7 linked regions of the Callithrix jacchus genome follow. The protein of the gene in region 3 purifies or fractionates together with the protein of the main gene of each other region. This does not show direct contact. Links are inferred from orthologs where the notes say so. Each region holds a gene or a part of one and is shown on either strand. Other genes may lie near its edges.

Region 1 (4,476 bases), on a different chromosome or scaffold from region 3:
CTACTGAAAATACAAAAATTATCCAGGTGTGGTGGCACGTGCCTGTAATCTCAGCTACTTGGGAGGCTGAGGCAGGAGAATCGCTCTCAGGGAGGTGGAGGTTGCAGTGAGCCGAGATTGTGCCACTGCACTTCAGCCTGGGCAACAGAGCGAGACTGTCTCAGAAAATAAATAAAATGAAATAGAAAAAGAAAAAAGTGCCAAGTGTGATGGGAGCGGCCCCATCACCTGGCTCAGGGAAGATCACAAGAAAATTCAGAAAAGAGAATTCCTTTCTCTGCGCTTTCTTGGAACACCTGGAGTCTGGTTCTCAGGTTTAGACCCATGAGGACTAAATCCAGTGGCTCCTAATTCCAGAAGCTTTCCAGGACTGCCCTCCCCGGCTGCTAACCCAGGTCACTCCTAGTCCTACCCTGACCACAGGGAACTGGAAGTGTGTATCCCATGAGGCCTTGTCCATTCTTTTTGTTTTCCCCTGAGACGGAGTTTCACTCTTGTTGCCCAGGCTGGAGTGCAGTGGCACAATCTAGGCTCACTGCAACCTCCACCTCCTGGGTTTAAGTGATTCTCCTACCTCAGTCTCCCAAGTAGCTGGGATTACAAGCATGTAATCCCACCACTCCAGGCTAATTTTGTATTTTTAGTAGAGACGGGGTGTCTCCATGTTGGCCGACCTCAGGTGATCCACCCACCTCGGCATCCCAAAGTGCTAGGATTACAGGCATGAGCCACTCCACCTGGCCCGCCTCGTCCATTCTTGGCCACTCCTCCAGGAAACGCCTGGATAGCCAGGACTTGGGGACTCTGGATGTTCAGAAGGTGGGGACGGGCTGAATGAATGAGTTCTAACTTTGCCCACGCACCGTTCTACACAGTGGGAATAATAGAGGGAAGAAAAATGAAGATCCTGCTTCCATAAAACTTGTCACAGGATGGACCCTTCCAACTCTGCCCTCGGGGACACAGCAGGAGGGGCCGGCTCCCTTCTCTGAATTGTTGCACTTGAAACCGCCTTCGCAACAACTGTACCTGAGGAAATTATGACAGCAAAAAGAGATCAGACCTAAGCAACTCCATCTTGCTTGTAACCTTTAAGCTGTCCTTGCTCTTTCCTGGGCATAGGCCGAACTAACCTTGGGAAGAAATTCAGTCTATAGTTTGACTCTGAGACAAGATTGGTAATAGCTTTTTCCAGAAAACACCCTCTTCTTACCTGGGGACCAGTCAGCCTTTGGAGGACTGACAAGCTGCAAGATTAGAAATTATCGTTTAGGGGTCACGAAGCCTCTGGCTCAAGAGTCTGAACCTCCCCAAATTGCTCCTGGGGATAACATCACTATTATAAAAATCTAAGATCAGTGCTTGAGATATTTTTGCAGACCCTGTACTAGGTGGATCCGCTGACACCACCCAGACGAGTAATGTGGCTCAACCAGTCCCGCAATCCCACCCACGGACAGAATCCCACCCAGGAACAGAAGACAGCAAGAAAATCTCACTTCGACCTCCTCAGGACTCCATCTCCAACCTCAGGAAGCTCCAGCCAATCAGCACCCCCCACTTCCTGAGCCCCTACCGACCAAATCATCTTAAAAACTCGGATCCCCTAGGCTGGGTACAGTGGCTCACCCTGTAATCCCAGAACTTTCAGGAGGCTGAGGTGGGTGGATCACCTGAGTTCAGGAGTTCCAGACCAGCCTGGCCAACATGGTGAAACCCTGTCTCTACTAAAAATACAAAAAAATTGGTCGGACATGGTGTGGTTGACGCCTGTAATCCCAGCTACTCAGGAGGCTGAGGCAGGAGAAAAGCTTGAACTCGGGAGGCAGAGGTTGCAGTGAGCCAAGATTGTGCCACTGCACTCCAGCCTGGGCAACAAGAGTGAAACTCCAGTCTCCTGCAGAGCTGGCTCTGTGTGAATTGCTTTCTCCATTGCAATTCCCCTGTCTTGATAAATCGGCTCTGTCTAGGAAGCAGGCTAAGTGAACCCACTGGGTGGTTACACACTGACCCCAGGATTTAGGGAGCATCTCTTACTAATCCTCAGCTCTGATGCAGCCACCCCTGTGGGTCCCTCCTGGTTACTAAATCTCCCACTGTCTCACAGAGTCTGGAAGTCACATCCCCAACAAAGGCCTAGATTTCTCTCCCTGAAAAAAGAAGCGCCAGATGCTGATGGGCCAGGAAATTCCCAGCTCCGACTTCGTTTTCCGATCTGCACATTGAGGACACGGGCACTTTCTGGCCCAGATCCAGAACTTCCATAATCACAAACATCTGGCCCTGCAGAGACCTGGGCCTCAGTTTTTCCTTCTGTGTATTGGGAGGATGCACTTTATCCACTCCTGCTCAAAATGCCCCCTTCCCCTGGAATGACATGCTATGTGACCCAAGGAGAAAGACCACACCCCAGCACCAGGCCCGATTTTCAGACAGAAAACAACAGGCCTAGGACGCTGTGCTGCGAGCATTTTATGCATCTTGCAAGCTCTGAAATTCCTAAAGCTAAGTTTCACAACTCAGACTGGCCCCCTACTTCCCAGCACTCTAATTTTCAATCTGGGAGGTCTGACCGGGCCCGAAGCGTTCGGGGCCCCTTCCCTGCCCAAAAACTTGCATTTGGCGGGCCCCCACCTTTTTTGACCTCAGTTTCCCCACCTGAGGGGAAAAAATGGGAAAAACTAAGTAAAGCGAGCCCGCTGTACTACGGATACAAGCCCGTGCAACCCTAAATCTCAGACACAGACGTCCTAGAGCCATCTGCAGTCTCCAGCCTCAGTTTCCCAGCCTCGTGCCGGGAGACGGAACGCGAGGCTCTGACTCTACGTTCACCCCGCGCCAACCCAACCGTCAGCGCCCGCCCGGAGGGCTCCCAACGCCTGCGGCTCCCGCCTCCCGATGAGACCCCGCCGTTGCCCTGCCCTCACCATGGTGCCGGCGGGGACCGGGCTCGCCGGCCACTTCCGCCACCGCCGCTGCACACGCTCCCGGCGGTCGTCGCAGCGCCGCGCGCCACTAGGCTGAAAGAAAGTGGCAGACACGCGAGCCAGTCAGCACTGGGCTCGAAGGGCGGCCAACCAATCCACGCGGAACACGGCGGGGCCCTCTGGGCGAAAGGGGCGGGCGGGCCGCGTTCCCGCCGGAGGAACGAGGAATAGAGCCGTAAAGTGTCGCGACTTGTAATGCAAAAGGGGGCGGAGCAACGCGCCCAGGCGCGGGGTGTTTTGTGGGTAAGCGCATGCGCAGGTGAAGCCGTCGGTCTCGGGCTCCACGCTGTGGGCAAAGCCAGTTAATGCCTTTCGTTTGCAGTCTTAGAGACAGCGAGGTCTCGTGGTGATTGGGACGTCCCTCAGGTCGCCCTTCGGACTCCTAGTTTTCTAATTCTGTAATTATCCAGGAACATCATTTAGTGGGTTGGAATCCTGACCACGCCCCTCGGAGCCTCAGTTTGCTGTAAAATGGGTTATAATAGTAGTGTCTGCTCCAAAAGGTTGCTTGCTGTGAGGATGAAATGAGTGAAACTATGTAAAAAGCACTTAAAACAGCGCCTGGCGATCGGGCGCGATGGCTCACGCCTGTAATCCCAGCACTTTGGGAGACCGAGGCGGGTGGATCACGAGGTCAAGAGATCGAGACCATCCTGGTCAACAAGGTGAAACCCCGTCTCTACTGAAAATACAAAAAAAATTAGCTGGGCATGGTGGCGCGTGCCTGTAATCTCAACTACTTGGGAGGCTGAGGCAGGAGAATTGCCTGAACCCAGGAGACGGAGGTTGCCGTGAGCCGAGATCGGCCATTGCACTCCAGCCTGGGTAACAAGAGCGAAACTCCGTCTCAAAAAAAACAAAAAACAAAAAAATAAAATTAGCCGGCAGTGGTGTAATCCCAGAATCGCTTGAACCCAGGAGGCAAAGGATCACGCCATTGTACTCCAGCCTGAACCCAGGAGGCAAAGGATCACGCCATTGTACTCCAGCCTGAGCAACTAGCGAAACTCTGTCTCAAAACAAACAAAAACAGGTCTGGCGCATATTAAGTACTTAACAATATACTTTGTGCCTGCTTCTGCTCACAGAAATGAACAAAACACAAAATTCGTGGCTCTCAGGGAGACAGTAAACAAAGTAAATAGGCAAATGCTGTTGTTTCCTGGGGCTGTAACAAACGCCTGCAAACTGAGAGGTTTAAAACAACAGAACGTGATTTTCTCACAGTTCAGGAGACCAGATTCTGAACTGAGGCTGTCAGTGGAGCTGGCTCGCTCCGGAGGCTCTGTGTGTCCTGTGCCTCTTCCTGGGTTCTGCTGGCTGCTGCCAGTCCTTGGAGTTCCTTGACTTATACATGGAGTCTTCTGCTTTCTGTCTGCCCCTGTCTTCACTTGGCCTTCTCTGTGTCTCTCAGGCTCAAATGTTTCTCTCTTTTCTTTTTTTGGGACAGACAGGGTCTCCATATGTTTGTTCAAGCTAGTCTCAGACT
Region 2 (4,386 bases), on a different chromosome or scaffold from region 3:
GATCGCACCATTGTACTCCAGCCTGGGTAACAAGAGCGAAACTGTCTCAAAAAAAAAAAAAAATTCAGATGACTATGCAAAAGGCCAAGTTGTGCCATGAGAAGGACACCATATCAGGAAACTACTCCATTATTTATTATCAGTGATGAGTCCTTTAATCTCACTCTCCCTATTTTATGGATGTCAAGACTATCACCAAACCTGCTTACCTCACAAGGTAGTTGCAATAATCAAATGAGATTCTCCCTCCAAGAGAAAAGGGAAACAAATACAGTATGGGAGAAGATTCTGCTAACCACAAGGCAAGTGAAGGCAAATGGATAATGGCTCTGAATCTGAAGAATTCTACTGAAGTAGCACTTCCCTCAAATAGGCCCCCAACTCTGGGGATGGAAAAAACAAAAAGGACAAAGTAAAATATTCCAAACCTCCAATGGCTTTCCTGCCTCAAGACTGTGCCTTGTTCATGCCCACATTCCCAGAGCCTGTAACAACAGTGCCTGGCATGCATTAGGCACTCAGAAAATCATTGCTGAAAAATAACAACAACAAAATAATAAGAAAAATAAAAATAATAAAAAACAAACAAACAAAAGAAAATCATTGCTGAATGAGAACAATTTTTTTTCAAAGACCCCCAACCCACACCTTTCCGTTCCTCTGAGACACAGGTCCATTCCTCCCACATAGCCTCATGTGCAAAGCAGGATACCTGGCAGTTCATGTTGTCCTCTGCCTCAATGAGCTTCCCACGATATACCTCGCCGGTGTTCGTTTCGCATGTCACAATGTGTCCCTCGGCCTCATGCAGTACTTTAATCGGCACACCAATAGACATCTTGGCAGGAAGAGTTCTAATGAGAGAGGCAACAGTCAGTTCATCATTCAGAGACTGAGAAGGCATGCAGCACATACTGTGCTTCCTTCAAGGCCTAGCCCTCCATAAAACTTAGCAAAAATGCCAAAACTGAATTTTTTTTTTTTTTTGAGCCAGAGTCTCTCTCTGTTGCCAAGGCTGGAGTGCAGTGGCACAATCTAGGCTTACCACAACCTCTGCCTCAAGGGTTCAAGAGATTCTCCTGCCCCACCAAGTCAGGCTACTTTTTTAGTATGGGGTTTCACCGTGTTAGCCAGGATGGTCTCAATCTCCTGATCTCGTGATCCACCCATCTTGGTCTCCCAAGTGTTGGGATTACAGGCGTGAGCATTGCGCCCGGCCCAAAGCTACATTTTCTACAAAAACAAAAACAAAATAAAATAAAACAAAACAAAAACAACTCAGCTCCTGGCTTGGAGGAAACTATCTGGCAAATATGTGCAAGATGTGGGGTGAGAAGGAATGGTGGGCTGGACAGAGATAAAAATAGAAATGAAAAGAGAGCCTCTCCCATCAACCACATGTCCCTACTACCCTATGTCCCTTAATCTTCATCTAAATGACCATTAGCGAATACTGTTCGTGTTGCGGAGTGGGGGTTAGAATGTTATTTGTTGCATTGTTATTGTCAACCGTAATTGTACATGATTACATTTTGAAAATTATATAGGCCTGAGCTGTCCAATACAGCTCATGTCCACATGTAGCTATTTAAATTAAACTTACTTAAAACAAAATAAAATTAAAATAAAAAACCCAGTCTCAATCCCAGTGGCCATATTCCAAGTGCTCAATGGCCATATGTAGCTAGTGGCTCCCCTATGGAAGGTGCAGATACAGACCAAAGGACCCATGAACACCTAGGAGAGGGGGCTGCACTTTTAATTCAGCCCTTTAACCCCTCACTTACTTTACCATCAAAGATGAGGAAATATCAAAGTGACAATATGCTCTATTCAGGAAATGCTTGTCATGGAGGAAAATCAGGGAAATCACCTGATTTGACCTAATTAAAAGAATCAAGCAGCCAGGCGTGGTAGCTCAAGCCTGTAATCCCAGCACTTTGGAGGCCAAGGCGAGCGGATCACCTGAGGTCGGGAGTTCAAGACCAGCCTGACCAACATGGTGAAAGCCCGTCTTTAAAAAAAAAAAAGAATCAAGCAGTGAACTTTTTATTGAGATAAGCAACGACTCAAAGTTGGAACGTAAGTGCACTTAACAGAGGAGAACGTGAGGTTGAAGAAACAGGTTCCTTTGGTGAGGATCCCTTGCTTTCAGCTTTAGGAGTCTACATTTTATACTGAAAATAGTGGGGAACCACTGCACGATTTTAAGTAAAGAATGACGTAATGAAAAAAGCAGCAGCACTGCCGGGCGCAGTGGCTCACACCTGTAATCCTAGCACTTTGGGAGGCTGAGGCGGGCGGATCACCTGAGGTCAGGAGTTCAAGACCAGCCTGACCAATATGGTGAAAACCCGTCTTTAAAAGAAAAAAAATTTTTTTTGAATAAAAAAAAAAAGTGGCAGCATTTATTTATAAAATGGATAGAATGTAAGGTTTAGAAGCAGAGAAACTTGTTAAAACTTCTGCAACAGTGTGGAAACCATGAGGGGACCACTACCTGAAAGGGGGCTGGAGGCAGAGATGCAAGTAACTTTTAAAAGAATGATCGGCCGGGCGCGGTGGCTCACACCTATAATCCCACCACTTTGGAAGGCCGAGGCCGGTAGATCCCTTGAGCCCAGGAGTTCAAGACTAGTAAGGGCGACATGGTGAAACCCATCACTACTCCAAAACAAAAAGAAAAAATAAACAGAAAAAAGCACTCACAGGATTTGGGGAAAGGAGACAGTCAACCAGAAATGACTTCAAGATTACTGCCTGGAAGCTCTGAAAAACACTGACCTGGAGAGATACAAAAAGTGAAAGCATGCACGCTGAAGCTAATGAACTTACTTCTAGGCGCTAGTGAGGCGATGCTCGCTGATGTCTGGGTGGCCCAAGCTTCCCGCTTTCTTCCCTCCCCGAGCCCCGCAGAGTTCCATGCAGCGAGTGGCCCCTCGACCCCCCCTTGCCCGTCCCCAGCCTCACCAGCTCCGGCCTCCTTCTCCTCTTCGGTGCGGCGGCAAATGAGTCTACGGCTAAGGCGTGAGTTCAGCGAATGGCGGGCCCAGCTCCCAGAATTCCAATCGTTCCCAAAATGCAGCGCGCAGGGCCCACCTCCTTCCTTTCCCCATTGGTAAGTGCGGTCTCGTCTCCGCTTCCTCTTCGCTGCGCCCGCCGGCTGGGAAACTAGGGCACCGCTACGATAGTTCCGGCACCAGAAGAGACGGCTGATAACTGGGCCCGAGGGCCGCCGGAAACAACGACCCTTGGGCCGGCAACGAGCCGCAGAGGGTGCTCGCACTTCCAAGCACCCCACACCAAGGACAGGCTGGACTGCAAGGCGGAAACCCGGGGCCTGGGCCGTCAGACCCGGGGCCTGGGCCGTCAGACCCGGGGCAGCAGGAGGTTGGGCCAAGGGCCAGGACTTCCCCCTCACAATTTAATTTTTTGATCCCGGCACCGCTAGGTAAGGGGCGCCCTGAGCGGGGCGAGGTATCTCGTACGGATAAAATTAGGTATAGAGTAGGGCGGCGGCCGGCTCAGGATCATCCCTAAAGGCAGTTGAAAGAGAGTTGTGGCCGGGCGCGGTGGCTCATGCCTATAATCTCAGCACTTTGGGAGGCCGAGGCGGGTGGATCACGAGGTCAAGAGATCGAGACCATCCTGGTCACCATGGTGAAACCCCGTCTCTATTAAAAATACAAAAAATTAGCTGGGCATGGTGGTGTGTGCCTGTAATCCCAGGTTCTCGGGAGGCTGAGGCAGGAGAATTGCATGAACCCAGGAGGCGGAGGTTGCGGTGAGCCGAGATCGCGCCATTGCACTCCAGCCTGGGTAACAAGAGCGAAACTCCGTCTCAAAAAATAAAATAAAATAAAAATAAAAAAATAAAAAGAGAGTTGTTTGGCGCTTCGGCAATGCATTGGGCGGGACCGGTGCTTACACCTAAGGCTGCAAAGGAGCGGGTCACGGCAGAGGCGGAGTTTGCTGAAGAGACGAACCTCTAGGAAGCATCTGCACTAAGTGCACGAGCTTCGGGGCGGGCCTCAAGGAAAGGGGTGGGGCTTCCGGGGCCCGTGTCCTGGTGGGCAGCGCGTCTACGCGAGGATTGGGCGACGGGGCGGGGCCACCCGACGCAGAAGCGGCAAATGGCCGGGGCGGGCTTAAATCGAGAGACTGGGGGCGTCTAGAATCAAAGTTTGGGGCGGGGCTTATGGAAGGGGCGGGGCCTTTAGATTCGCGAACTAGAAGGGCCGGGGCGGGCCTTGGGGAGGCCCAGCCGCCGCCTCCAGTTCTCCCCACCGCATCGGCGGCGGTGGCGGCGGAGGAACTGGAGACGCACCGGCCGCCCTCCCGCCCCAGCCGAAGCGGAAGCTGTAGCCCGCTCTGGGCTGGGGCCAT
Region 3 (3,895 bases):
AGGTTGCGGTGAGCCGAGATCGCGCCATTGTACTCCAGACTGGGTAACAAGAACGAAATTCCGTCTCAAAAAAAAAAAGAAAGAAAATATACACACACCCCCTCACTGTTCCCATTCATACCCATCAGGCCCCTGATAACAAAGACCAGTACCTGTGTGGTGAGAACACCAGCCCAGTGACACACTGGGAATGTACAGCTGAGCTGAGGACACAGCTTGTACTCTTGGTGTCAACAAGGGAGACCATCCCATTTTCGTCCCCTGTAGAAGAGAAAGGAACATGTCACAGTGGTTAAGAGCATGGACTTGGTGCCAGCCAAAGTCAGTTTTCTCTTTTGGTGCAGTAGTTTTCTGGTTTGCAAAGTAGGAATAAGAAGTCACTGGACGATTGTGAAAATTAAGTTAATGAATGAAGGAGTTATTATTTTAACCACAAACCATGTCACCATATGCACAGCCTCATGACCGCAATAGCCCTACACCTACCCACAGTCTAAGAGAATTCCGTATACAGCAACCCACTTGTTTTGTGGCTCTCTGACTTCTAGCCATGCCCAGAATACCGGAGCTGGATCAATCAATCAAAAATCAAATCCACTGGGAAAAAAAATGTTCTCCAAAGCTACAGTAAAACTACATTAGCATCACCCCCACCTCCCCACCCTTAATTCATATTCATCTAGCGTCCACGAGTGCTGATAAGACTGAGCAGCAAGAGCCTTGTGCATTGTGGAGTCAGCTCTTTTTCTCTCCTCCTCCCCTTTCCCAGAGTCAATATGAAGTCTGACATGCTGCCTTACCAAAGACAAAGACTTCACTTTGCTGAGGATGCCAAGCCAGTGAGGTAGGAAGGGAGCCAGAGGCACTGCAACCTGCAAAGAGAAGAGGGTCTGGACTAAAACTCAGAGCCCAGAAGAAGCACTTTCTCAAGTGACATCACTATAAATCCTAGGAGCACCTTTATTGGAGTTCCCAAACCCTGCTAAGGCAGCAATGTCCTCATCCTTCAGCCTCATAACCATTTATCCACCAGCCTCCTGCGCTTTCTGGACATGAGTCGCAGGCCAGTTTCAAACACAGTCATGAAGATAACAATTCTGGCCCCTTTGTCCTCCCACCTAATAAAATAAATAACCCACCCAGGAACTGGCCCTTCCTCTTGGTATTCAGTGCACAGAATGGGGTTAGGAGAGCCTCAGTGGAAAAGAAGGAGATTATGTTACTCATGTCACAGTAACTAGATCGGGAATCTGGCAAATCTGCTTTGACACTGGCCAAAGAAAGTCTCTTCTATTGGGGTTCCAAGTACTATTCTCCCACCAATGAATCTCAGACTCACCAATGTGTGATGCTGGCTTGGGACAGCGGGTATCCCAAAGTAAAATTCTATTGTCCTAGAGGGAGGCGGAAAAGAAAAAGGACTTCACAATCCAAAGGAGCAGCTGTAGGCCAGAAAATCTCCACACTAGAGACTGTGGCCTATGGAGGACTGGAGTGTGTTTAGGGAAGAAGGAGCTATCTCTCACCTCACTGCATGAAAGAAACACAGAATCCTTGTGGGGAGAAGCAGCGACACAGGTGACCTGCGCAGCATGAGCTGAAAAGTAGAGAGAAAGATAAATATGACAGAAAACAAGCCGAAGCATTACAAGAAGGCCAGCCCAGGAATAATCAAGGCACAGGAGGGAGGAAGAGTTGGTCTCAGGATGCAATTTAACAAATTTTGTGGTAGGTTATGGATTAGACAGAAGCTAAGAGGAGAAGTTTACAGACCTATAAAACCTAAAAAGTCTTGTAAAGAAAAGTATTAGTAAAGACAGGGAATGAGAAATTAGGGGCTTAGTAAGAATAATAAAGGAATTTCCAGTTAAGACCTCCTAGACATGAGGGCTAAATAATCCTAGAATAGCAGTCTTCATGCTGGATGGAGTACACATACCTCCAAGTAGTATACAGAAACTTGCGAGGGAGTTCTGGGCGCTAATAGCATTAAGAGCGCCAATTTCTCTCAATGTTCTCTTTCCTAAAATTGAACTGCCTCTGTTTTCACCATCACCCTTCTCCCACTTTATAGAAGAAACAGATACCTGTCATTTATCCCAGATCTTTCCATGGTACAATGCTCAGGGGTATAAAAATATAAGGGTTCTAAACTAAGGGACAAAAGGGGCTTTTCCCTAAGAACCAAAGAGCAAAAGGAGCATCTGGGTAAAATTCAGTGAAGGGGCTGATCTTGTTTCAGTCATATCACAAACACAAGTATGGTTCTGTGACTTAACTCTTGTCTAATGACAAGAACTAAGAAATATGACAGACTGTTGTGATAAGGACATATTCAACAACTTTATCTGAATGTGGTAACAAAGTCAGACTTTTTCTGACAGAAAACTTAGTCTAACTTGGTCCACTGGCTTTTCAACACACATTGGCATTTGCCAGTTAGGCTATCTGGCAAACATTCGTACAAACTAACTAGGAATCTAAAATTTTGACAAATGTATGCCTGAAATAAGTATGTAATAAATTATATGCCAGAAGTTACCTTCTCTGCAACTACTTAAAATTTTTTAGGTATCAGTTTAAAAATGTATGAGGGGGCATCGATTTTCAAAATTGTTTTGGGAGGTCTACATGTAAAAAACTTTAAGTCACTGCTACATGTTAATTAGAAACTGCGAAACTCTTCTACGGTCATTCTACCAGACTTTCCCAGGGAGTCTGAATGTGGCCCCTCCCTGAGGCAGAAGGATGGAATTTTACTGACTTCCACAGTTCTTTCCTAGCCCTAGAATTCACAGGAAGCCAACAGAATAAGAAGTAAGAAAAGGAATTTATTGCTCACTTGAACAAAGCAAAGCTCTGGGGCAAGCACCATGGTGGTGTACAAAAGGTGAAGAATGCATGGTTCCTCTACCGCCAAAGGTTTTGGAGCAGGGTGCGGTGGCCCATGCCTGTAATCTCTCAGCACTCTGGGAGGCCAAGGTGGGAGGATCATTTGAGCCCAGGAATTTGAGAGCAGCCTGGGCAACATAGCAAGACTCTGTACAAAAAATTAAGAAATAAGAAGGGATTTGGAATTCAGCAAGGGGAATAAGACACAAACACGAAGAACTAAGGGATGAATGGCTGAAGTAATGAAAAAGAGTTAATATTAACCAGGAAGGCACATCATATGTCTAAGAAATAAAAAGCAAACATAATAGACAGGGGACATTGACTTTTTTTTTTTCCTGAGATAGTCTCACTCTGTCACCCAGGCTGGGGAGCAATGACATGATCTCGGCTCACTGCAACCTCCGCCTCCAGGGTTCAAGCAATTCTCAGGCCTCAGTCTCCCAAGTATAATCTGGGATTACAGATGCGCAGCACTACACCTGGCTAATTTTCGTACTTTTTAGTAGAGATGGGGTTTTGGCATGTTGGCCAGACCGGTCTCTAACTCCTGGCCTCATGTGATCCGCCTGCCTAAGCCTCCCAAAGTGCTGGGATCACAGTGGTAAGCCACTACACCCAGATGGGCATTCAATATTATTGTAAACCTATTTGAAAGTGACCCTGAGGTCCAGCACACTGGACCTTGGATATGAGTCTGTGATTTCTCTGGCCTATAACTGAATCATGCACTTTGAAGTCAGAAACGGCAGGGAAAGGCACTTGGCCACGGAGTGAACCACGGTGATCACCCAGCACCTAAATCTCATAGCCATGCGCATATTAAGGCTCCAGATATTATCTGCACAAAGAATGGCTCCCAAGAGAAAGTCAACCACTAGTGCTGTTAACGAAAGTGAGCAGAAAGAGGGGCATTAAGAAAGTGACGGTTCTCACCAGAAAACAGACATTTTATGAAGGTAAATACTCAGAGGTTCAAGATTTGAAAGTCTCAAGGTTTATC
Region 4 (3,895 bases), on a different chromosome or scaffold from region 3:
GATACCACAGTAGGCTTAGAGTTTCGAAGGTGAATTTGTAGACCAAGAAACCCAGAGTGGAAGTAATGCCAAGAAGTCTCTGCCTGATTTGTTGGTTGTGATCAGGGTGCTTCCTGAACTGTAGGTGGCTTTGCACATAGCATGGGATCGCTATGTTTAAGGAGCCAAAGCAGATCCTCAAGCACCTGAAGCTCTTTAGAAAATGGTTGGTAAAAATTTCACTAGACTTGTAATGACAGATGTCAGGTAAAGGAGGTGTCGAATGAGCCCAAGCAGATTCCTCACTGTGGAAGTACATTCTGCAGCAGCTGGTCAGCGGGATGTCAAGTCTGTCCTTCTTCCCAGTCTCTTCTGTCAGGCAAGCTTCTTTGTTGCCTCAATTAGCAGCGCTAAAACGTGGTGTATCATGGTGAGAAGTAACTGGCCTTTCTGTGTATTTCTACCACACAGCATGGGAGTTTGTATCATTCTACTAAAGCATATGGGAGAAGCGAGCCTCCTTGATAGCTTTCCTCCACTAACTGTTACAGACAAGAGTGGTGGGCTGCCTACCTGGGGTTAGAAAGGGTTATATCCAAAGGGACACAGAATAATTTCAGTTTCATATCTAGACTCGGTCACGTGGAGAAGCACACACAGAGTGTTTCGAGATAGAATGGTAGCTTTCCTGTTTTCCTTATGCAGGTGCCTTCCATAATTTTCTTACCCGTCTAGTTTACATAGGCACTTCAGTAGGACATTAGAAATTTTTCAGATTAATAGAATTATAGACACTTGTCAACATAATTTGTGTTTGAGAAATAAGTTCACCTTGAGCAATCAGAAGCCCTAAATGAGGCATCTTACCTGAACAGGGTAAAGTGTTTGGTGCCAGTTTTCCATGCTTTGTGTCTGCCCTGTGAGGAAGCACCCAGGTCTTCGCCATGTGCTGTGTGATGTAAATGCATCTCAGATGTGCAATCTTTGTCCTGTTTTCTTTTCAAGGATTTTTAGACCCCGAGAAGAAGCTTTTTTCTCATCGAATATTATCGAGGGATGAATGTATCGACCCATTTTCTAAAACAGGAAACCTTAGGTATGTACCCGGCCAAGTTCATCACAGAGACTACTCGCTGTTCATTGCCCATTTTAAAAATCACATTTTGAGATTTAGACCAATATTCATATTGGTGTTTTTTAGGAGTTTCCTGTCCTCTCTCCAGTTTTCCTTGTTAGCCTCAGAGTACTGAGAAAATTCCTTTCTAACCTGTGCTCCTGCTGCCTCCCAGGCTGCCTGAGCCCTGGTGTTTGTACACAGCCCCTGATGCAGGCTCTGCCTGTCCCAACAGCCCTGCCCTGAAACCACCCTGGAGCTGGGCCTTGTGTCTGTGGAGGTGGGACTGTCGTCCTCTCTGCCTCGTCTCTCAGATGGCACGCATTTGATGTCAGCCTGCCACCTGACTTTGTGTATCTGTTTGCTTAACCAGTCTTGGCGTGTGTGATCGTTCTAGTCCCTTTAGCTTCAGATTTTCATTCCTGTGCAAACACCTGGCGCTGAGGTTTGTAGTTGGAGAGGTAGGAGGCAGTGTGCATCCCCACAGTAGCCAGGTGTGAAGCATTTGGCCTTTTTGCCTCTGAGTATCCAGGAAATGGCCAGGGCTTCTGGGGAACTCAGGGACTGACTTTCGGGCCCAGAACCCAGGAGGGCAGAGCCATGTAGGGACGCAGTGGGCATCAGGGAGGCGGCAGCCGTGAGGGCCTGAGTGGACAGAGGAATGTCCGTGACTCCATCCAACGTACAGATCTGCAGCTTTGTGGGGCTGCTGGTTTAGGGAGTGTTCTTAACGTCAGCATTGGCATCTGCGGTTTGTAATTTTCCTAGGAGCTTGCCTGTGTTAATCCTACTAATAATTTAGAAAACCCTAGGTCTCATGACCGTTTTCTCATATTTTTGCCTTTTGCCATTTCTTCCTTTCCATCAGTTCCAGAGCCCATCCCCGTCAGCTCCTCTGAGCTTTTTTGACACGGCTGGCCCCTCTCCACCCCTATGCAAGACTTTTGTATATTCTTTTATATTCTTTGATGTTTCTTGCCCACTCTGTATGAAGAGCTTCCCCATTTCCACCCGGAAGTCCGTCCTGCTGCCGAGACACCACGGCAGGTGTGGCTTTTTCTCCCGAGAGCCCTGGCGGTCACAGCTTCAGCATCAGTCACTTCCTGGCTCACGGTGGCCACCTGCCTCTCAGCATTTTGGTTTTTAGATTTAGGGAGTCCACACAGACTGTGAGGCCTATGCAAGCTAGTGTTAACTAAGAAGAGAATCTGAAGGTATTTACTTCAAAAACAAACCTTTTTGCTAGTGTGTGGCAGAGTGAGCAGCTTGATCGGAACGGAGAATGGGAGGTACTGACAGTGATTTGTTAAGGACAGTCGGCTGAAGCCAGAATGTAGGATGGGGACGTGCCCAGGATGGGCCCTGGTGACGGACGCTGTGGCTTGCATGGAGGTAGCTGGAGGTCCTCTTAGAAGTCCTGTATTGGCAGTGGGTCTGTGTTTTGTTTCTAAGATGGGTCTTGCTCTGTCACCCAAGCTTAAGTGCATAGTGGGGTCTCAGCTCACCACAGCCTCGACTTCCTGGGCTCGGGCCATCTTCCCGCTTCAGCCTTCTGAGCGTCTGGGACTACCGGTGCCTGTCACCATGCCTGGATAATTTCTGTGTTTTTTGTAGGGACAGGGTCCTGCTTTGTTGTCCAGGCTGGTCTCAGACTCCTAGGCTCAAGCTTTCCTCCCACCAAGACCTCCCAAAGCTCTGGAAATTACGGGAACGAGCCACACTGCGCCTAGCCCACTCTGTGTTCAGAGACAGCACATTCTGGCCTTTAGGCTCCTCAGCCGTGTTTGTGCATGGAACATGGCCGCACCCACGCGCTCGGAGTTGGGTTTTGTCCCTGTGGCTGGCCCATAATGCCTGAAGTAGTGACTCTGGTGCTTTAAAAAACGGTTTGAGAACTCCTGCTTGAAGGAGATCGGGAACAGTGGGGAAGCTGTTAAGGACGTTTAAATGTGACCCAAACCGAAAGGGCTTCGGGCCAGTTGGCGTCTGTTTCTGATTAACCTGCTGTCTGCTGGCTGCATGTGGATTCAAGTCTTAAACTGTTACGCTTGACAAAGTGAATGACTACAGCTTTTCATTGTTATTTTTTGTAAATTATGCATTTTCGCTTGTAGAAATCTCTTTCCTTGTGGAGACTCAATGGTTTGCATTATCGATGACCGAGAGGACGTCTGGAAGTTCGCCCCCAACCTGATCACTGTGAAGAAATACGTGTACTTCCAGGGCACAGGCGACATGAACGCGCCCCCCGGGTCCCGGGCGTCTCCGACAAGAAGGAAAGGTGGGCAGCCTGCTTCCTGATTCTTTGCATTTTATTTATCGTTTCTCTCTTCTCGTTTCTTGTCTATTTTGACTGCTGTGAATTTAAGATGCAGTTTGGTTTTGTTTGTTTGTATTTCAGTAGAGATTATTGGATTTATTTAAATAGTACTGAAAAACAGGATATTACGTTGTTTCAATTTGGGCCTTAAAAAATGGCCTTAACTTAAACATTTTCCCAGTTGAATAAAGACTCAAGAATGCTGTTTACTTAATACATCTGAGCAGCGCCTTTCATCCCAGTTTTCCTTGAATGTACCCCTGGGCATTTGTCCATGGCGTTCTGTAGAGAGCGCAAATGTGGGGTGCAGTGGCTCCATGGGGAGGAACCATTCCCAGTGCACGGTGGTCCGGCTGGGCGCTGGCCAGGGCCCCAGAGAGCGGTGTGGTTTAACATGTCAGGCAGGTGTGCAGCTGGCGTTCACCCTGTGAAAAGTTAAGTGTTTTTGATGTTTATTTTTTAAAAAGTATTTTGAGGCATAC
Region 5 (3,895 bases), on a different chromosome or scaffold from region 3:
TGATGGTCACTTTTAAAGAGACTATGGTGGTATGCCAAAGAAAAAAAAAATCTTAGAGCTTGGAGAATGAGAATGCAAAGAACAAGGCTGGGAAAATATTATTTAAGCATGTGTAATTATAAGAGGAGTTCAAGATAAAAAGAACTGGAGAATTAGTGAAATAAATGTGACCCAGGAAGACACTAAAAATTAATAGGAAATCCTGCATACCTTACTAAGAAATTAATCATAATTACATCAATTACAAGCAAATAATCATACTGACTCTGTATGATTATAAAGCACATATTTAAAACACACACCCTAAAACCTACTGAACTGCTTTTTCCTAGTTTAGGACTTACAGCATTTGCATTTTAAACAAACTTCCCACATATTTCTAACGTGTATCCATTAGTCTTGAGTTTGGGAACTAGAGACTAATATACTCCTTCAACTTTTTGGATAAAATTAAGGTCAGAGAGGTGCAAATGATTTGCCTAGCAAGTTAATGACAGAGTTTTCTTTCCTTTCCTTGCTCTGTCACCAAGGCTGGAGTGCAGTGGCATGATCAGCTTACTGCAACCTCGACCTCCTGGGTTCAAGCAATTCTCATGTCTCAGCCTCCCAAACAGCTGGGATTATAGGCACCCACCACCACACCCAGCTAATTTTTGTGTTTTTAGTAGAGACAGGGTCTCTCCATGTTGGCCAGGCTGGTCTCAAAACTCCTGACCTCAGGTGATTCACCTGCCTCAGCCTTCCAAAGTGGTAGGATTACAGGTGTGGGTCACTGCACCTGGCCTAACGACAGTTTTCTTATTCAATGTGCTTCGCCCTTCGGCTAGTATTTTTGAAACCCTATTTCCTAGCCTTTCTCTTGACATGTACCTTTCCCAGCTCCAATGCCCAACACTATTTAGGGGCATTTCACACCAGCATTTGGAGCTGACTGACAAGAGTATCTCTAAGGTGTTGCATTTCTACAAATGAATGAATGCTTTAAACTAAACATGACAGATAATATTCTTAGTTATAAAATCATAGTTACATTTACTTAGATGGAGAGTAAATTTTGTGCCTAATACCTTATAAGGAAGTCTTACTACACCCCAAGGTTAACAGCCTTTTACTTTTCCTCAACCTCTTCTTCAAACTTCACTAGATTTTTATGTCTTTGAACCTTTTCCAATGGCAAGAATTTGAAATCTTATAACAAAAATATTTTCAGATAGCTGAATCAGTTGTTACCACTTAATGAGGCAGGGCTTGCCAAAAGTCCTGAAAATTACTAAATTGTGTCACAACTGAACATAAATGATCATATTATATCTGACACCATATTAAAATCCCAATTTGAAAGAGCAATAGCCTTACAGGCAAACTGATGGGATTGTCTCTTATACACTACTTCAAAGAAAAGCAACCCATTATTTCAAACATGAACATTTCCACTAAATTTTTGAGTCTTTGCAGTTATCCCAAAGCAGAACTTGGGAATTTTTATATCCTAGTTTCTCAACCTTGGCACTACTGACATTTGGATGGATAATTCTTTGTTGTAGGGGACCATCCTGCACATGGTAGAATGTTTAGTATAATAAAAACATCCTTGGCATCTAACTGCTAGAGGCCAATAATACCCGTCCTCTTTCAACCAAATGTCACTGCTAAATGTGGGGGAATGGTGAGGTCAGTGGAGACCCATGGAAAATATATCCCTCCTACACACTGAGAACTACTATTGTAACAAAACAAAACCGTTCTATCTTAAATTCTCAGAAGCACAGGGTCTACTGAACCAAGCCTCTAAGGGTGTCTTGCCGGGCGCAGTGGCTCATGCCTATAATCCCAGCACTTTGGGAGGCCGAGGTGGGTGGATCACGAAGTCAAGAGATCGAGACCATCCTGGTCAACATGGTGAAACCCCGTCTCTACTAAAAATATAAAAACTTAGCTGGGCATGGTGGCGCGTGCCTGTAATCCCAGCTACTCGGGAGGCTGAGGCAGGAGAATTGCCTGATCCCAAGAGGCGGAAGTTGCAGTGAGCTAATATCACACCATTACAGTCCAGCCTGTGTAACAAGAGCGAAACTCCATCTCAAAAAAAATAAAAAGAGAAAGACAGCTGGGCACAGTGGCTCACACTTGTAATCCCAGCACTTTGGGAGGCAGAGGCAGGTGGATCATCTGAGGTCAGGAGTTCGAGACTAGTCTGACCAACATGTTGAAACCCCATCTCTACTAAAAATACAGAAATTAGCTGGGTGTGGTGGCATGCACCTGTAGTTCCAGCTGCTTGGGAGGCTAAGGCAGGAGAATCACTTGAACGCAGGAGGTGGAAGATGCAGTGAGCCAAGATCACATCACTGCACTCCAGCCTGGGCAACACAGTGAGATTCTGACTCAAAAAAAAAAGAGAAAGACAGAATAAACAGTTAAACTTCAAAGGAAAAGTTAAAAATATATATCCATAATAAATGAAGAATTCTAAGTGTAAATATATAGAAGATATATACAGATACACAAGAATGTCCATTATGAAAACTTCAAGTGTCCAAGCTGCTGTGCTGAAATTTTGCATCATAAACTATTATCCAAAATGAGTCAATGACTTCAGCGTTACATCATTGATTATTATTGAAGACTTCCGGTTTTGTTTTTTTTTTTTGAGATGGAGTCTTGCTCTGCTGCCCAGGCTGGGGTCAGTGGCTCGATCTCGGCTCAGTGCAACCTCTGCCTCCCAGGTTCAACTGATTCTCCTGCCTCAGTCTCCTGAGTAGCTAGGACTACAGGTGTGTGCCACCATGCCTGACTAATTTTTTGCATTTTTAGCAGAGACGAGGTTTCACTGTGTTAGCCAGGATGGACCTTTTAACCTCATGATCTACCTGCCTCGGCCTCCCAAAATTCTGGGATTACAGGCATGAGCCACTGTACCGGCGTCAAAGACTGTTTTAATTTTAAAATATAATTTGCTATCAAAGGAAGCATTAGATTAAATTACACCATACATACCTTCAAATTTGGCATTCACCATAACATACAAGTGCTCTCCCAGACAGTCACTTCTGTCCCTGGACAATGCATGTAAGCTAATGGTGGGGTATTCCAGCGAGAATCCTAATCCGGAGCCATCTAACCAAGACAGGCGGCTGAAAAACATGTTTTAAGTAGATTATTTTTAATAAATTCTAAAGTAATACCACAAAGTATATAAAAGTTTGGACACCTTTATGCATATAAATAAATTCAAGTTTACTTTTTTAGAAATGTTCATAAAATAAGAAAATTCAGTACTGGGAATTTAATTTTCTTTAAGATCATTCTGTTACGGTCTCTTTACCTCTAGCTAAAAATTAAAACAAACTTGAAATTCCATTTTCCTCAGTCACATGTATATTTCTATGACTTTCATGCTTACTCTTTTTTGGTGTGTCTTCAAGCACCCTCTTTGCTTTTGCAAATACTTCCCTTTTCCATGAGGCCTCCCTTCAACTATTCCAGTCCATAATAATCTCTTATTTTTCTGAATTGCAAATTATAGCACTTAACTCTGTGGTAATGAATATTATATGTGCCCCTTCGGAATGTGAGTGACTTGACAGCAGAACTGATCACATTCCGTTATTTAACATTCTTCAAAACCATTAGCAAAGAGCTCAGCAGGTAAATATGCAATAAATCCCTGGCAATCATTCATTTCTCCACGAATCCTATATTAAATGACATACATATGAAATGGCTGTAATTACACTCACTGCAAGTCAAGAAATAATTATTACCTTGAGAGACAGTCTCCCTAAAGCCTTTCATTTATGCAACAATTTTAAGAGAAAGCCACAGAAATGCTAGGTCTCATTTTCCCTCAAGTGCGGTCAAATGCAAATATTTTACTGGTGTAACAAAGAAAACA
Region 6 (4,052 bases), on a different chromosome or scaffold from region 3:
GGCAGCTCCCGGCGACTCCGAGCGCCGCCGCCCGCCTGGCGCATGCGCAACCGCCGTCACGCGGGCCTCACCCGCTCCTTACAGCCAATGGTGTGAGCCGCCGACCCGAGTCCCGCCTCCGCCGTCCCGGACCCGCGACGGGCACTCCGGACCGTGCCCCGCCCTCGAAGGCTGCGCCCCACCGCACCTCCGCGCACGGCCAATAGCGTGAGACCCCGACGGTCCCGCCCCCCCACACGCACGGCCAGAGCCCCGCCCCCTGCCCACACCTGGCCTCTCCGCACCGCCTACTCCTGGCAAAGGGCGGGCCTGGCAGTGCGGAGCGCGGGGGGTCCCGCCGCCGCCGCCGCCTCCATGAACCCCCACGGGGCGCTGTCCCAAGCAGGGTTTTTTTTTTCCTTGTTATTTTTTGGCATAATAATATTCATCATTGTGGAGTTTTTAAGCCAGGACCACATTGCCAGGCAGTGGACCTGCGCCTGGGGAGCCCGCGACAACCACTCGCGGACACTGGAGGCCAGTGCAGAGAAATATTTAATAGGAATAAAAAGGTCTGCATAGAGCCGAGGCTCGGAGCCATCCCTCCACCGCACATTCAGTACAGAAAGAGGGTTTTATAAAGTTCACACTTTTTCATTAGTAGTAGAAATGGGGTGAGGCCCTGAGACTGGCCTGGTGAATGAGGGAAGGCAGCTGGGCGCTTCCTCTGCGGGCCAGAGCTGAAATAACCCGAGTTCCGTTCTCACAGAAAGGGGCGGCTGCCACCTCTTGACATAGAGGATGGCCAAGCTGTATCAGGAGACAACCGCAGCAGTGCAAGGGGCTTCTGCAAGGACAAATGGCTAAAGATGTCATGGTGAAAACGTCATCCCCAAAGTTCTCATTAGACCTGTGGGACAACCCAGCCTTCACCGTGACACTGGCCATTTGCAAAGTGCCAGCTGTTCTTCATTGAGCACCAGGTTACGTCACTTTCTTCCTTTTTGTGCGTTTTGTGCAGCCTCTGCCAAACCAGCCCCCTAGAATGGGGGCTGAGCTAAGTGGTACACCCCGGTCTCCAGGTGGGGCCTCCTCTCTGCTTCTGCACAGCGACTTCCGACTGTGGCTACCTTCTTCATCAGCACGCAGGGGAGTCGCCAGTGAGAAAATGGGATCCTGCCACCTGCCAAAAAGGGAAAGCTGCATCAGGCAGGCCTGGGAGCCTCTCGAAGTCACACCCTCCCCAGCTCGGGAAAGCTGTCTGCGGTCCCTGCCTTCCCATCCCCTTCCCTCCCGTGTCAACCGCGGCTGGGCTCCAGTTGGTGGCAGCTTGTTACCAAGCTGCAGAACGGATGTGGGAGAGGTCACCTCTCAGGTGTCACTAAAGGTCAGTGCCCACATTAGCTAGCTTGGTCTCCTCAGAACTCCGTGTCCTCATCCACCACTGAGCAGCGTGCACACACAGGGCGGGGCAGCAGTGGCCCCAGGGCTGCCTCCGTCTCCAGGGATGAGTCACTAGCAACTCTGGGCCCCACCTTTGACTTGTAAGGCCAGGGGCAGGTGGACCAGACCCTCTCCCCTTTCCCAGCTGACTAGGGAGGCGTGGCCTACAGACGACACCGTGAAGAAACCATGTGTCTTACTGAGATGTAGAACCACAGATCATAACTTAAGATACAGATAAGCACTGATAAGGAAAATGAGCTAAGTTAATGTAAAAAAAAAAAAAATACAGTACACGATAGCCCACATCACAGAACACCACACACATAACATACAAGAAGTGCCAGGCCCAGAAGGCGAAGGGATCCTTAATTCTTGAACCCTTTGATTAAAAGAAGTTATTGATTTCCCCTATAAGACCCTGAAAATTCACAGAGAAAGAGAGTGTAAACTTTTTACTCAATACATACACCAAGTCTAAATTAGCACAAATTCTGTATTAAAGCACAAGTTTAAGCTTTCCCAAAATACGCCAACTCCCAAAACCAAGCACAGATTCTGTCTGACCAGACTGCTGAGTGCACGTCCCCTCGAGACATTTCCCACCAGGCATCTCAGAGAGCTCCATGGGGAGGCCTGGAGCAGCAGCATGCGGGCAGAATCCCTCTCCCCTTAGGGATTCTGTGCACCATCAGCTGGCGCACGAGTGGCCCATGCATAGTCTCGGCCAAACACCAAGGTCAGGCCCTCTGGAGACCACCACGCCTCAGTCACGCCTCAGACATCGCTGCGAACACCTCAGAGCCTCCTCCACGCTCAGCTCATGAAAGAAGACAGACAAGGCCCAGCACATGAGGTGCGGGTAAACGGGCTGCTGCGGAGGCCCACTCACCTGCTATAGGCAGGGATCTCCAAGCCCAGCTCGGCCATGAGGAGCCGCATAACGTCATCACACTTCCCATGTAGCTTCAGGGCGGCCCAGTCATCCTTTGGGGTCCACTGAGGACAGGGAAAGCCAAATGAGGGTAAAAGCAGCCCAATCCTTCCTAGTGGCTTGTCAGCCTCGGCCCAGGTGGCCTCGGTCGTTGCTCCCTGAACACCCACGGGGGACCCTATCAGACTGCCCTGGTGCATGGGTGTCTCTGGCTCTGCATTCTAAGGCCCAGGTCCGAGCATGTGGCTCTCAGCACCCGAGATACCTGCAAGTTCACAATGTAGAGCTTGGGCCGCCGGCTAGGAGGCTTGGTCATGCACCAGAGGCGGGGGTACTTCTTTAGAACCTGTGGGAACAGACGGACAGACACAGCACACACACAAGGGACAAGGCTGTAGAGTGCTGGGCTGCAGAGCTGGACACCCTTGGGCAGGTGGGGGCTCAGCTCATTCATGGTGTCGTTGGCACGCACCTTCAGGCTGGACCCCAGACACAGGATGGTGTCTGCTCTGCTGGCAGCCTCAGTTGCCGCCTCCCAGTTCAGAGGCTGCCCCAACGTCCCCCTCTCCCCAAAGTGCACAATTGTGTCCCGGAGCTGGGCCCCACACTTGTGGCAGGTCCGGCCTGTCTGGTGTCTGTGGAGAGCGGTGCGCTCCGTCACATCGAATACCCGAATGTACTCCCTGTTGGGAACGCAGGAAGTGCAGACCTGAAGAGGAGAGGGCACAGTGAGTGGGACCCGCCTGCCCGTGGAGTTCCCGGGTCCCCTTAGGACTGCTCACTTCAATGTACATGTTCCCGTGGAGCTCTGAGATGGCCGTTCGTGGCAGCCCGCTCCTCAGGTGGAGCCCGTCACAGTTCTGAGACACCACATGCTGCACCTGGAAGGTGGAATGGGAAGGGCTGTCAGAGGGTGGGGATATCAAAACAAGGCCACAGAGAGGCTGTTCTGAACCCAGCTGATGGCTCCCAAGACCAGGAACAACTCCAACCCCACAGAGAGCCTTTGAAAGTACAACACACAATAGGACCAACCACCAAGACTCAAGAGGGCCTATGGTGGGTGGCGCTGTGCCCTTCCCTCCAGCCCTGATGCACCCAGATTGGCTGGGAGGGCAAGAGGCTGTACCGTCCCAGCAAGGTTGGGAAGTGGCTTGGGGCTTTGGCAAGGGTCACTTTGCTCTGGATCCATGCTCTTGTGGGTCATGATGTTTCAGGTCCCTTCGGACCCAAGCAGATCAACCCCTACCGGTGCCTTGGTTGAGGGTGTTCAGCAGAAGGTCCCCAGAGAATTCCTACAAGCCTCCCCTGTGACTAGGATGGCTTCTGAGATCCACAGAAAAATGCAAAGGAATCACAAAGGGGAAAGGCCACTGGCACCTCTGGGTCTGAGGCTGGCTGTGGATGAGATGGTTCAGAGGGGGCGCTGCCCTTCTGTCTTGGAGAGGAAGCAGGGGGAGGATCCAACCCGGGGTCTAACCCACTTGGTGGGTGCTCATCATGGGAGTCAAGCGGTAGACAGAGGCAGGATGCAGTTGTCCACTGAGCACCAAGATGCTCTGCCAAGTGTACCAGCCGCCTTGGGCTCTTACCAGCTTCTGTTCATGCAAACGGGTGATGCTCATGTGGGTGAGGGTTGGCTCAGCCTCGCTCAGGTCAGCAGCACTACCAGGCGGAGGGAAGGCAAGGTGAAGGG
Region 7 (4,469 bases), on a different chromosome or scaffold from region 3:
TGGCCAACATGGTAAAACCCCATCTCTACTAAAAACACCAAAATTAGCTGGGCAAGGTGGTACTCACCTGTAATCCCAGCTACTTGAAAAACTGAGGTATGAGAATTGCTCAAACCCAGGAGACAGAGGTTGCAGTGAGCTGAGATCGTGCCACTGCACTTCAGCCTGGGCAACAGAGTATCTATCTCAAAAAAAGAGAAAGAGGAAGAGGAAGAGGAGAGAAGAGTTTCCACAGTAGTGGGGGCACCAAACAACTTCTAATTCTACATTTCCAGAGGCACCACTATATCCAAATCAACCAACTTAATCCTGTAGGACTTATCCAAATGGCCATCATTTCTAGAACTTTCCCAAAAAAAACCTCACCTTTCTAGGGTCTGTCATTTTAATACCTATGGATGAATACATCCTCCCCTTGATTCTCCTTCATGGTCCAGTATGTAGCAATCCTGTCTAATTAAATAAAACAAGTTTAATTTATACTTAACTGCCTCAGAAAAATACAAATAGCAACCTTTGAATATTATTCAGTCTTCCAATTAAAAAGGATACAAAATCTCTAAGTTGTCCAAATATTTCATCCACTTTTCCAATTTGTTCTTTGTTTTCTAAGTAAACAGGAGCATTGAAATAAGGCACTTTATTTTCATCTGTGGTACATTTACAAACTATGTCATCTTCACAGGGATGGAGGAACTCTCCTAACACTGAAATAGAACAAGAAAATGTTAAAACATAGAACTATTTCAAATGATACTGACGAACTTCTCCTGGAAGCTTTCTTTTTGGCTACCAGCACTTCACCATATCTGCTCTCCTGTGAGGCAGAAGACCACAGTCATTAAGAGTGTGGACTTCCTGGGCTGGTTTACAGACTCCACAACACACTAGCTCTGTGACCTAAGAGAAGTCACCCACCCTCTCTCTAATTCAGTGTCTCATCTTTAGTATGCACTAATACCATATCATGTATATCTACACCTAAAAGAGTATTGTAAGGACTAAATGGAATAACAAATGTCAAGTGCTTAGAATAGTGCCTGGCACACTGAGACCATTCAACCTAAACAGTTATCTTATTATAACGTATTATCTGATTCAAAACTCTGCTTCTTTCTTCTGATTCTTCCTTGTCTTCAACCCCCACTGAATCAGACTTTGTTCTTTTTTTTTTTCTCTTGCCTTTCAACTTTCACATTCCCACTACCAACTCTTTAACAATGATTCATTTTTTTAAAGGACATCTGGAGTCTCAAAATAACTACCTTTATTTCTAACTAACTAGAGTATCACCCAAACTTAAATACTTACCACATTCCTGCAAAACCAACTCTCCATTCCCATCGCCCAAGCTCAAAACCTGAAACTTTTTATTGCCAGTATTAGCTAAGTTCTACTGATTTTGTTTCCTTTGAAATCTTTCCTATCTAACCCTTCCTCTTTTTCCTCACTGTGACCATCCTGAATCAGGCTCTCAATGCCTCACGTATGGACTGGTGCAACAGCTTCTGGGCTGGGACCTTTTATTCTAGACACTGCTCCTTTCAAATCCTCCTTAACTAGACACTGTTCATCCTCTCTCATCTTTAATGTAGTAGGCTTTACTTTCTGTGACTTCCATTCCAATCTCATTGTTAATTACTCGAAAACTGCCCTAAATGGGTCTTTTTCTCGACTTCCTCACTGGCAGTTTCCCTCTCAAGCAAATTTTTTTCTCACTTACCAACTTTTGAGTAGTAACGAAAGCATGGGCTGTGGACTCAGAATACTTGGCTTTGTATTTCTTTCTTTTCTGTACAGACAGGGTCTCTTGCTTATTGTCCAGGCTGGTCTCTAACTCCTGGCTTCAGGTGTGAGACACCGCACCCAGCCTGTATTTCAGCTGTATCACTAACTGATAACTTATCACTAACCTTAAGACCCTAGCAAAAAAAATTAACTCTGAATCACGGTTTTCTCATCTGTAAAATCAGGGAATTAAGGATAAGTATTCACTTGCTATCTTTAATATCTTCTTGTGAACCCTCAAGTTCCACCTCCATGATGCATTTTAAGTATCCCACAGCTTTCTTCATCTCCCCATCCCACCTTTACATGTACTGTACGATTATAAGTCAGTTTACATCATTTTCCACACAGGCTTGTGTATCCCAAACTTGCTGACTAATAACACAAACCCACAACCCACCTCTACTCCTTCAAATAGGCTAAATGTTGAAGACTACATACAGACTACACGTTCTGGAGGTCCTTGATCTTGGCCTTTGTTAAAGCCTCCGCGGCCACCCCCTCGGCCAAATCCTCCCCTGCCGCCGCCTCTGAAATTGCCGCCGCCTCCGCCACCGCCTCCGCCTCCACCTCGGAAGTGGTTGCTGCTGCTGCCACGGTTGAAGCCGCCACTTCCACCACCTCGATTAAAGCCTCCACGACCTCCGCCTCGAAAAGACATTCTCTCTCCTCCCTGGTGAAAAAAAATGAGCAGTTATCTTCTGATCACTGTAGCCTCTGAGTACACTCCAACCCCTTGGAGCCGCAGTCAGAAAGGGACAATAGCAGCCCTGTCACGTCACCCACGGTCAGACCGCCAGTGACCAACCTCTAGGGTGAAGAGTTTACTTCCCCATGAGTCTCCGGAACGCCGACCGACCACAGACCAGCCTGGCCGCCCCAGGATTAGTAACTCCTCCTCACACAGACAGCAAGGTCTTCACACCGTATCCCCTTCCTTCCTCCCTCCCTCTGGCAGCTGGGTTCCGCGTCCAGCATTTTCAGATCCTCCGGCTTCTACGGCAACTCACCGGCGCCACGTGCACCTCTGGCCCTGGCCTTGCGCGCGCACACACCCACCCGCTGGGTACTTCCGCAGCACTGGAACCTCCTCGGCTACCGTACCGCCAGAGTTTTTTTTTTTAAACCCACTTTTTTTTGGCAAGCCAAAAAAAAAAAAAAGCCAGTCACCGGCGGAACCAGCAACACTTGGTTCCAAAACAGTCTTCAGTGCTGGAAGAGTGGAATAATATCGAACCTTAACGACTAATTTACAACCATGAGGTCAAAGTGCCTAGAGTGGAGCAGCGGAAGTGACGTACAATAGCGGCGTCCTTCGCAGCACGACATCCCGGAAGTGCTGCGGCAATGTTGCTCTTGGAGATAGTTGGCGTTAGAGATCCGCCCTCTCTACCGGGGGCGGGGCGGGTGCCAGTTTGGTTCCAGCGCTGACTGCCGGAACGAAAGCACCTTGCAGGAACAAGGTTGGTTCTTAAGGTTCGTGCCGATTAACGGGGCGCACTTGCTTCTCACGAAATTGTCCCCAACCGCGCTCACCAGTTTGTTGCTAACTTCAGCAACTGTGCAGACGGGTCTCTAAGGTTTCTGAGCCGCACTCTTTTCAGTGGATCTGGCTGTGTCAGAACCTGTCACAGCCGGCGGAAGCGTTTATCTGAGTTTCTTGTTTTTTCTCGACCTATTGATTTTCGCACAATTGTGGGTTGAACTGTGCCTGTTATTCTGTTCTGTGGTCTCACTGATTAGAGGAAGAAAAGCAATGTGTGTGTTTATTTAATTTTTTATGCTGTATTATAGAAAACCAAACCATCTTTTTTATCTTTGTACCAGGTATTCATTCAAGTATGTTTTAAGCACCGACAGGCTGTGAACCACTCTGTGCTCGATGCTCCTCTCCCTCTTCTCTCCTTAAGCCCTTTATATTTGACATCAGCTTCCCCCACATTCTCCAGAGCTTCTCTCACAAATAAAGGTAGTGACCTTCCATTTATTAAATGTGGTTGGAGTCTTTTATACCCAAATCCTCTGAGACCTTACCTTGATATTTGACACAGCTGACTACCTCGTGTTTAGAATAGGGTTGAACTTGGTACCTATCTAATTGACGGGGTTATTGTAAATGGGATTTTAAAATACCTTTGTAGGCAGGGCGCAATGGCTCACGCCTGTAATCCCAGCCCTTAGGAGGCCGGGGCTGCTGGATCACTTGAGGCCAGGAGTTCGAGACCACCCTTGCCAACACGGTGAAACCCCGCCCCCCTACTAAAAATAGAAAAATTAGCCGGGCATGGTGATGCACACCTTTTATCGCAGCTACTCAGGAGACTGAGGCAGGAGAATCGCTTGAACCCCAGAAGTGGAGGTTACAGCGAGCCCAGATCCGCCACTGCACTCCATCCTGGACAACAGAGCAAGACTTGGTCTCAAAACAAACAAACAAAAAACAAGTGAGAGAGGAAACTTCACTTTTTCTTTTTCTTTTAATTTAGTAAAGGTTGCAATTTGATTTTAATGAATGTCGATCTTTTATGGGCCTATATATGCATAAAAGTATTACTTTTGAAAGAAAAAAATGAAAATTACCTATTTAATGTGAAGTTTTTGGTTGTCTTTTGCTGTGTATCTGCTCAATTCTGAGTTTGACTTGAGATTATCACACACAGATTTCATTTTGAACTGAAATG

What was found.
Region 1: the proteins of WDR77 (region 3) and LSM4 purify together in Homo sapiens (affinity purification with mass spectrometry; 3 studies listed by BioGRID and IntAct, with this or other methods). This does not show direct contact. The link is inferred for Callithrix jacchus from reciprocal best matches to the Homo sapiens genes WDR77 and LSM4.
Region 2: the proteins of WDR77 (region 3) and SNRPD3 purify together in Homo sapiens (affinity purification with mass spectrometry; 3 studies listed by BioGRID and IntAct, with this or other methods). This does not show direct contact. The link is inferred for Callithrix jacchus from reciprocal best matches to the Homo sapiens genes WDR77 and SNRPD3.
Region 4: the proteins of WDR77 (region 3) and CTDP1 fractionate together in Homo sapiens (co-fractionation; 3 studies listed by BioGRID and IntAct, with this or other methods). This does not show direct contact. The link is inferred for Callithrix jacchus from reciprocal best matches to the Homo sapiens genes WDR77 and CTDP1.
Region 5: the proteins of WDR77 (region 3) and CLNS1A purify together in Homo sapiens (affinity purification with mass spectrometry; 6 studies listed by BioGRID and IntAct, with this or other methods). This does not show direct contact. The link is inferred for Callithrix jacchus from reciprocal best matches to the Homo sapiens genes WDR77 and CLNS1A.
Region 6: the proteins of WDR77 (region 3) and SIRT7 purify together in Homo sapiens (affinity purification with mass spectrometry; 3 studies listed by BioGRID, with this or other methods). This does not show direct contact. The link is inferred for Callithrix jacchus from reciprocal best matches to the Homo sapiens genes WDR77 and SIRT7.
Region 7: the proteins of WDR77 (region 3) and GAR1 purify together in Homo sapiens (affinity purification with mass spectrometry; 3 studies listed by BioGRID and IntAct, with this or other methods). This does not show direct contact. The link is inferred for Callithrix jacchus from reciprocal best matches to the Homo sapiens genes WDR77 and GAR1.

The regions. Positions count from the first base shown.
Region 1 is NC_133523.1:17,038,642-17,043,117, forward strand, and holds the start of LSM4 (U6 snRNA-associated Sm-like protein LSm4), read right to left. Parts: upstream 2,993-4,476; 5' UTR 2,931-2,992; coding exon 2,928-2,930; intron 1-2,927. UniProt on the Homo sapiens protein: Plays a role in pre-mRNA splicing as component of the U4/U6-U5 tri-snRNP complex that is involved in spliceosome assembly, and as component of the precatalytic spliceosome (spliceosome B complex).
Region 2 is NC_133502.1:195,106,386-195,110,771, reverse strand, and holds the start of SNRPD3 (small nuclear ribonucleoprotein Sm D3), read right to left. Parts: upstream 3,067-4,386; 5' UTR 2,971-3,066; intron 2,785-2,970; exon of another isoform or gene 2,710-2,784; intron 855-2,709; 5' UTR 839-854; coding exon 713-838; intron 1-712. Other genes in the region: protein GUCD1, read left to right, coding at 4,199-4,386. UniProt on the Homo sapiens protein: Plays a role in pre-mRNA splicing as a core component of the spliceosomal U1, U2, U4 and U5 small nuclear ribonucleoproteins (snRNPs), the building blocks of the spliceosome.
Region 3 is NC_133508.1:149,397,590-149,401,484, forward strand, and holds part of WDR77 (methylosome protein WDR77), read right to left. Parts: intron 1,598-3,895; coding exon 1,527-1,597; intron 1,395-1,526; coding exon 1,340-1,394; intron 873-1,339; coding exon 801-872; intron 262-800; coding exon 153-261; intron 1-152. UniProt on the Homo sapiens protein: Non-catalytic component of the methylosome complex, composed of PRMT5, WDR77 and CLNS1A, which modifies specific arginines to dimethylarginines in several spliceosomal Sm proteins and histones.
Region 4 is NC_133514.1:121,977,138-121,981,032, forward strand, and holds part of CTDP1 (RNA polymerase II subunit A C-terminal domain phosphatase), read left to right. Parts: intron 1-984; coding exon 985-1,075; intron 1,076-3,207; coding exon 3,208-3,374; exon of another isoform or gene 3,375-3,838; intron 3,839-3,895. UniProt on the Homo sapiens protein: Processively dephosphorylates 'Ser-2' and 'Ser-5' of the heptad repeats YSPTSPS in the C-terminal domain of the largest RNA polymerase II subunit. This promotes the activity of RNA polymerase II.
Region 5 is NC_133511.1:62,972,852-62,976,746, reverse strand, and holds part of CLNS1A (methylosome subunit pICln), read right to left. Parts: intron 3,135-3,895; coding exon 2,998-3,134; intron 1-2,997. UniProt on the Homo sapiens protein: Involved in both the assembly of spliceosomal snRNPs and the methylation of Sm proteins.
Region 6 is NC_133506.1:137,508,813-137,512,864, forward strand, and holds the end of SIRT7 (NAD-dependent protein deacetylase sirtuin-7), read right to left. Parts: intron 4,022-4,052; coding exon 3,949-4,021; intron 3,238-3,948; coding exon 3,139-3,237; intron 3,066-3,138; coding exon 2,829-3,065; intron 2,703-2,828; coding exon 2,622-2,702; intron 2,422-2,621; coding exon 2,315-2,421; intron 1,844-2,314; exon of another isoform or gene 1,758-1,843; intron 1,163-1,757; coding exon 964-1,162; 3' UTR 517-963; downstream 1-516. UniProt on the Homo sapiens protein: NAD-dependent protein-lysine deacylase that can act both as a deacetylase or deacylase (desuccinylase, depropionylase, deglutarylase and dedecanoylase), depending on the context. Specifically mediates deacetylation of histone H3 at 'Lys-18' (H3K18Ac).
Region 7 is NC_133504.1:87,430,932-87,435,400, forward strand, and holds the start of GAR1 (H/ACA ribonucleoprotein complex subunit 1), read right to left. Parts: upstream 2,840-4,469; 5' UTR 2,767-2,839; coding exon 2,692-2,766; exon of another isoform or gene 2,597-2,691; intron 2,462-2,596; coding exon 2,230-2,461; intron 708-2,229; coding exon 553-707; intron 1-552. UniProt on the Homo sapiens protein: Required for ribosome biogenesis and telomere maintenance. Part of the H/ACA small nucleolar ribonucleoprotein (H/ACA snoRNP) complex, which catalyzes pseudouridylation of rRNA.